2 linked regions of the Saccharomyces cerevisiae S288C genome follow. The gene in region 1 interacts genetically with each later gene. Each region holds a gene or a part of one and is shown on either strand. Other genes may lie near its edges.

What was found.
Region 2: of YHC3 (region 1) and HSP30, changing one enhances a phenotype caused by changing the other (phenotypic enhancement), as found in Saccharomyces cerevisiae (one study listed by BioGRID).

What each region holds. Positions count from the first base shown.
Region 1 is NC_001142.9:322,834-326,766, forward strand, and holds YHC3 (amino acid transporter YHC3), read left to right. Parts: upstream 1-2,130; coding exon 2,131-3,357; downstream 3,358-3,933. Other genes in the region: BNA3 (kynurenine--oxoglutarate transaminase), read left to right, coding at 553-1,887; BIT61 (Bit61p), read right to left, coding at 3,409-3,933. UniProt on the Saccharomyces cerevisiae protein: Plays a role in vacuolar arginine transport. Involved in pH homeostasis. May be involved in ion homeostasis together with IST2. Not necessary for mitochondrial function or ATP synthase degradation.
Region 2 is NC_001135.5:155,542-159,209, reverse strand, and holds HSP30 (Hsp30p), read left to right. Parts: upstream 1-2,102; coding exon 2,103-3,101; downstream 3,102-3,668. Other genes in the region: YCR023C (uncharacterized protein), read left to right, coding at 1-672; YCR022C (uncharacterized protein), read left to right, coding at 1,445-1,789; HTL1 (Htl1p), read right to left, coding at 3,654-3,668. UniProt on the Saccharomyces cerevisiae protein: Probably cooperates with other heat shock proteins in the translocation of polypeptides through membranes. It may counteract the altering effect of heat shock on the plasma membrane.

The sequences.
Region 1 (3,933 bases):
TACGGTGAGCGTCTGACAACGAAATCAATTTACGGAGCAAGGATTTTGACAGTAGAGCAGATTGTTTTGAGTAGGATTTAGGAATCAAGACCTCCATCTTTGTCGCATTATTCCTAAATGTAACGTAACTCGTTTGATAAGAGAATGTCTAATCGAAGAGAGTTAATAACTTAATAAGCTCTTTAAAAGAACGATGGCATTTATCGTCTCCTATGCCAAGATAATTACTGGCTCAAAATTGTTCAGCGTTCATAAAACTTTGATATCACTTTCTGGCGCACAAGCTAACCTTTATGTAGTTCTTACGTAGATTCTTTTTAGCAAGTGCCTGGTAGTGGTTATTACATAAATGTATCTTTTCATTTGATAACAATTTCTTCAGTAGCATGTCGTGTCTAGCACGTGACGTAGAACTGTGGCTTTTTTGTTGTCATTATGACAATCAAGATACCAAAATTCAGTCATGTTTAAAAGGGGAAGGTACGATAGAGATATATATAAAGTGTTCAATTTACTATAATTGCGTATAGAATCCATTGTTACTTGCTCTCAATGAAACAACGATTCATTCGTCAATTTACGAACCTAATGTCTACTTCGAGACCGAAAGTTGTTGCCAACAAATATTTCACTTCTAACACTGCCAAAGATGTTTGGTCGCTAACCAATGAAGCCGCTGCAAAAGCTGCCAATAACTCCAAAAACCAAGGCCGTGAACTTATTAATTTAGGCCAAGGCTTTTTTTCATATTCCCCTCCTCAATTCGCCATTAAGGAGGCTCAGAAAGCCCTAGACATTCCAATGGTCAATCAATATTCTCCAACTAGAGGTCGACCTTCATTAATTAATTCCTTGATTAAGTTGTATTCTCCTATTTATAACACAGAATTGAAAGCGGAAAATGTTACCGTAACAACAGGTGCCAATGAAGGTATACTTTCTTGCTTGATGGGGCTTTTGAACGCTGGCGACGAGGTTATTGTTTTTGAACCTTTCTTTGACCAATATATTCCAAATATCGAACTTTGCGGTGGTAAAGTTGTTTACGTCCCCATAAATCCTCCAAAGGAATTGGATCAAAGGAATACTAGAGGTGAAGAATGGACCATTGACTTTGAGCAGTTCGAAAAAGCGATTACATCCAAGACAAAAGCTGTCATTATCAATACCCCTCACAACCCAATTGGTAAAGTTTTCACGCGCGAGGAATTAACCACTTTAGGTAACATTTGCGTCAAGCACAACGTTGTGATTATATCTGATGAAGTCTATGAACACCTTTACTTCACTGATTCTTTCACTAGAATTGCCACACTCTCTCCAGAAATTGGGCAACTAACCTTAACGGTCGGTTCTGCCGGTAAATCGTTTGCTGCTACTGGTTGGAGAATTGGTTGGGTCTTATCCTTGAACGCAGAGTTGTTAAGTTATGCAGCTAAGGCACATACAAGAATTTGTTTTGCATCTCCATCCCCTCTACAGGAAGCTTGTGCAAACTCTATTAACGACGCTTTAAAAATTGGGTATTTTGAAAAAATGAGACAGGAATATATCAACAAATTCAAAATTTTCACATCGATCTTTGATGAATTGGGACTACCATATACAGCTCCAGAGGGTACATATTTTGTCCTCGTTGATTTCTCTAAAGTGAAAATTCCCGAGGACTATCCCTACCCAGAGGAGATCCTGAATAAGGGAAAAGATTTTCGCATTTCTCACTGGTTGATCAATGAATTAGGTGTGGTTGCCATTCCACCAACTGAATTCTATATCAAAGAGCACGAAAAGGCTGCTGAGAATTTGTTAAGGTTTGCAGTTTGTAAAGATGATGCTTATCTAGAAAATGCCGTAGAGAGATTAAAACTACTCAAGGACTACTTATAAGATAAATTTTTTTTTATACTCCTTTTTCTCAATATATAGATTTTATAAAGCATGTATATTTTTATGCAGAAGTGGTAAATATAAACATCAATATTCCAGAATAATTCCATATTTTCTTCGCGTACTACAAGAAAAAGTGAACCCTTAATGAAAAATAGACAATATGAACATTTAGTAATGTTTTGAACAGTGTATTTATAGAGTACTTAAACACATATGAAGATATAGCGCAAGTAAATATAAATGAGTGACAAATCTCATCAGATATATTGCTACTTTTGGCTCTTTGGTTTGATCAATAATGTACTTTATGTGGTAATACTTTCAGCAGCTGTTGATATCGTGGGTCCTACCTTGCCTAAATCTCTAGTATTGCTAGCAGATATATTCCCATCACTCGCCATTAAATTGTGTTCCCCATTCTTTATTGATAGAATCAAGTACAGCTATAGAATATGGTCTTTGATCACGATGAGTTGCTTAGGAATGTTCTTAGTTTCTTTTAAAAACTTGTTTGTTTGTCTTTTAGGAATATCTTTCGCATCTATATCTTCCGGATTTGGAGAAGTGACATTCCTACAGCTAACACACTATTACAAACAAATTTCTTTGAATGGATGGTCGTCAGGTACTGGTGGTGCAGGAATCATTGGCGGAGCATCTTATATGTTCTTAACTTCAATCTTTAAAGTTCCAGTGAAGCTAACTTTACTAGTATTTAGTCTCCTTCCATTTGCATTTTTGTTTTATTTTAAATTAGAATCCAATGATACCAACCTGACTTACCAAAGTCTTCAACAAATTGACGAAGCAGAGGATGACCAGTTGGTGCCCTTTCCTGTCGCCTTTACACATACCAACGCTTCGCAATCCCTGTATTCTACAAGACAGCACATTTTGCAAACGGTCAAGAGACTTCGAAGATTGGTTTTTCCATACATGGTTCCATTGACCACCGTCTACTTATTCGAATATTTAATAAACCAAGCGGTAGCTCCGACCCTATTATTTCCGATTAATGGTGATGAAAGAAGTAAATCGATGCCATTTTTCTTCCATAAATACAGAGATATATACGTAACCTATGGAACGCTCTACCAATTAGGTGTCTTTATATCAAGATCCTTTGGACATCTTATGAGAATGAGGAGTTTATACATCTTAGCGTTTTTACAAGGTGTGAATTTGTGCATAACGGTACTGCAATCATGGTTTTATGTCACACATTCGCCCTGGGCGGTGATGATATTAATATTCTATGAGGGTTTTCTTGGTGGTGCGTCATATGTTAACACATTCTTAAATATTCTCGAACAAGAGGATCCTGATGAAACAGAGTTCGCCATGGGTGCTGTGTCCATCGCTGATTCCTTTGGCGTTTTTTTGGCTGCGTTACTTGGTTTGGGGCTAGAACCCAAACTTTGTAGGCATCAAATTGCCGATGACAGACCTTGGTGTAGGATGGAATAAAGTTTTGTTGTGATATTAAATAGGAGATTGAAATAAAGTGTTAGATGCTTTCTATATACTCATTCTAATGCCTGCTAATAACTCTTCGATAATTCGTTGATTTCTATCATTACTTTGAATGGTACTCAATATGCCAAAACACTGCAGTAATGTCAATTTATCTGTTTCTGTGACATTACTTTCTTCTTCTTGATTGAAAATGTAAAGTTGAAAACTTTTGCTGATACCATCGTTACTATTTACGAAGTTTTCATAACAAGGTAAGACTATTGAATCTCTAAAGCACATAAGCAAAAGAAACCCAATAGAATAATTACCATTAATGTGAGTCCGACTTTCATTGCCTGACTTTAAAACCGTAGAATTACCATCTTCTCTGATACTCTGATCCAACGGTAATAACACAGCGGCTAAATCATAATATACCTCTTGATAAAATATCCGCCATATAACGCCTAATCTTTTCAATGCGTTATTTATTGTGTCTTCATTAGAATAGTTAAAAACAATTTGGTTTTCTAAATTGTATAGGGAACTAACCAAAAATTCTTTCAAATCGCTGATAATTCTATTCAT
Region 2 (3,668 bases), on another chromosome or scaffold:
AATCCAAAGAAGCTGGCTTCAAAATTTCCGTGGAAAATATCTGGCGGTATAGGTTATGAACCAGAACAAACCGGTACTCTTTTGTCGACAACAGGTATCTTTGGTTGTTTTGTGGTTATTTTCATTTTTCCCATAGTTGATCGAAATTTCGATTGTTTAACAATTTTCAGAACTTTAGTCAAGCTGTACCCTATTATGTACGTTATGGTTCCTTACGTTGTTTTTCTACAGAATGAACGGATTCCTAGCTGGTATACTGTCGTCTACTTGTACATAATCACAGGGATAAAAACATTTTGTGGCGCTTTAACGTCACCACAAATTATGTTATTAATTCATAATTCGAGTCCCTTGAGTTGTAGATCAGTCATCAATGGCGCCACCATTAGTATTTCTGCCTCTGCTCGTTTCATAGGTCCCTTAGTATGGGGCTATATTATGTCTTGGTCCCAGCAAAATGACGTCGCCTGGGTCAGTTGGTGGTCGTTAAGTCTTTTTTGTATGGTAGCTCTTTATCAAAGTTATAAGATAGCACCAATTGATGATAACGAAAATGAGCTTCATGGACAGGGTAGTGAAGATGCCTACAATTCGCAGTCACAGTCTTCTGATTTAAGAATGGCTCATCGATCTAGTTTAAGCAGCTTAAGTAACCAACGCTGTACCACATGAGAAATTTTTTTTCAGAAGGCTTGCAAAAAGGATATCTAATAAAAAAAAAAATGAACTCCAGTAGATTTTAGATATCAACCATAACTGGCGAAAATTTGCACCTTTTTGATGAGAGCATGTTATGTCAAGGCATGGCCGCGTGATGGCATTGCACTCAAGATAGTTTCCGGAATTATTATACTCCTTATGTAAATTTCAATCCGTTTATGTAATTATATCCAGGAACTCAATTTGACCAGACAAGTAATGGCGCCCATTTTGAGCGAGAGAACCCATTTTTCTATACAAATTTCACTAGAGCACGGCCGTTACATTTAGTAATAGCCAATAAGGGTTTTTTATCGATTAGTGTTCCCTGCGCTCCTTAACATCATACAACCGAGTACTTGACATGGAGATAGTAGGCAAGTAAACCAAAGTCCTTTCTTCAAAAGTAGAAAACTTGAGCACTTATTTCCTGCGCATGTCATATGTTAATTTTCCTCAACTGCGCTGAATACGTCCTGTCAATTCAAATATATCACGTTGTGAGCAGCCCTGAAGAAGAAAACCTCAACAGCAGTATTACTATTACAATCAAACAACTTTAGTGCCGCGTGATACCGGGGGTTGAAGTGGGTGCATTGAGCCGTATTCTTCTTCCCCGTAAGAAAGTTGTGTATCCTTTTTACTGCGTTGTAATAGCTTCTGAAAACCTAAAAAATGAACGCTATGTAGCTCATATCCGTTTTGCATAAGTAAGAATAACTACTTGTGCAGGGTGCCGAAAGGGATGGAAAACCGCTGCAGCAACCCTTGTTACATACAGTCGGATCCATCTGACTTACTTTCCTTGCGTCTCCCTGCGCGATTTTGTTGGCCATTTTCCAGATCCTCTAGAATTTTTCAAGGGTCGAGCCGTAGGAGGATTCTCTCAGAAGGCAAAAACGCATCGAAAGCGTGCTTTGTAAGAATATTTGGTATGGCTAAAGTAAGCAAAGCCATATCCCGATCCCGATCCCGACTCTTATTCCGATCCCTTCCGCCACATCCTGCATGTTTATTCGAATACCAAATTAGCTCATCTTCGTTATTTCATCATCCCTTTCTGCTATGGCAAGGACAAGTTTTTTTCTAGCATCTCATCGAAAACTTTCCTCTCCCTAATTGGCCAAAGTTTTCATATTCATCATCAGTTAGAAAGTATAATATCAATCCCTTACCTCATTACAAGTTGTATCACACTAAAAAAATCATATATAAGTCTGTGAGAGTCTTCAATTATTTAGCGTAACACCTATTCACTTTCTAATCTTGTTTCTTGTTTTTACATTCTGCAATACAACACAACAACAAATATTAACTCAATTATTATTATTTATAATTACAAAAACAAAACAACAAGTTTGAGACTTTAATATCTTTTGATTACTAAAAACAACAAATTTCAAATGAACGATACGCTATCAAGCTTTTTAAATCGTAACGAGGCTTTAGGGCTTAATCCACCACATGGCCTGGATATGCACATTACCAAGAGAGGTTCGGATTGGTTATGGGCAGTGTTTGCAGTCTTTGGCTTTATATTGCTATGCTATGTTGTGATGTTCTTCATTGCGGAGAACAAGGGCTCCAGATTGACTAGATATGCCTTAGCTCCTGCATTTTTGATCACTTTCTTTGAATTTTTTGCTTTCTTCACTTATGCTTCTGATTTAGGTTGGACTGGTGTTCAAGCTGAATTTAACCACGTCAAGGTTAGCAAGTCTATCACAGGTGAAGTTCCCGGTATTAGACAAATCTTTTACTCGAAATATATTGCCTGGTTCTTGTCCTGGCCATGCCTTTTATTTTTAATCGAGTTAGCCGCTAGTACTACTGGTGAGAATGACGACATTTCCGCCTTGGATATGGTACATTCGCTGTTAATTCAAATCGTGGGTACCTTATTCTGGGTTGTTTCGCTATTAGTTGGTTCATTGATCAAGTCCACCTACAAGTGGGGTTATTACACCATTGGTGCTGTCGCTATGTTGGTTACCCAAGGTGTGATATGCCAACGTCAATTCTTCAATTTGAAAACTAGAGGGTTCAATGCACTTATGCTGTGTACCTGCATGGTAATCGTTTGGTTGTACTTTATCTGTTGGGGTCTAAGTGATGGTGGTAACCGTATTCAACCAGACGGTGAGGCTATCTTTTATGGTGTTTTGGATTTATGTGTATTTGCCATTTATCCATGTTACTTGCTAATTGCAGTCAGCCGTGATGGCAAATTGCCAAGGCTATCTTTGACAGGAGGATTCTCTCATCACCATGCTACGGACGATGTGGAAGATGCGGCTCCTGAAACAAAAGAAGCTGTTCCAGAGAGCCCAAGAGCATCTGGAGAGACTGCAATCCACGAACCCGAACCTGAAGCAGAGCAAGCTGTCGAAGATACTGCTTAGAGCAGCTTGAGATTGTCTTAATCATTCTTTGCTTAACACATTTCAAAACATCAGTTTTCTTCTTTTAATGTCACTAATGAAACTTAATATTTAATAATCTAATTTTAATTTCTTTATGAAATATGCAAAATAAATTATATACACAAACACAATAATTAATAATCTAATCTCATTTTTCCAAAATCAAGAAATGTTCTTACTGCTTCCATGCCTGAATAGTCTAATCGATAGTAGGCCATTTCAATTCTTTTTAGTTATATGGAGACGCAAACACCACTTTATTTTAGCGTACCCTACCAAAATTAAACGATAATATGGTATTTTTATTCTCATTTGTTACACTCTATTCTGTATCACTGGATACATTCGCGGTAACTTGTTTTATAAAGTGAGATGGGATTTATGACCATTAGATGCATATAAAAGCTTCCAAATAATAATAAGATATTGTGACTTTTGGTGAACTAGATACGCTTTGAAATTCTTCATTTGTAATGAAGCAGGATTCACATTCAATATTTTGTAGCTTACAATTGTGAATGTTGCGTTTTCCTACTTTTTCCTTTC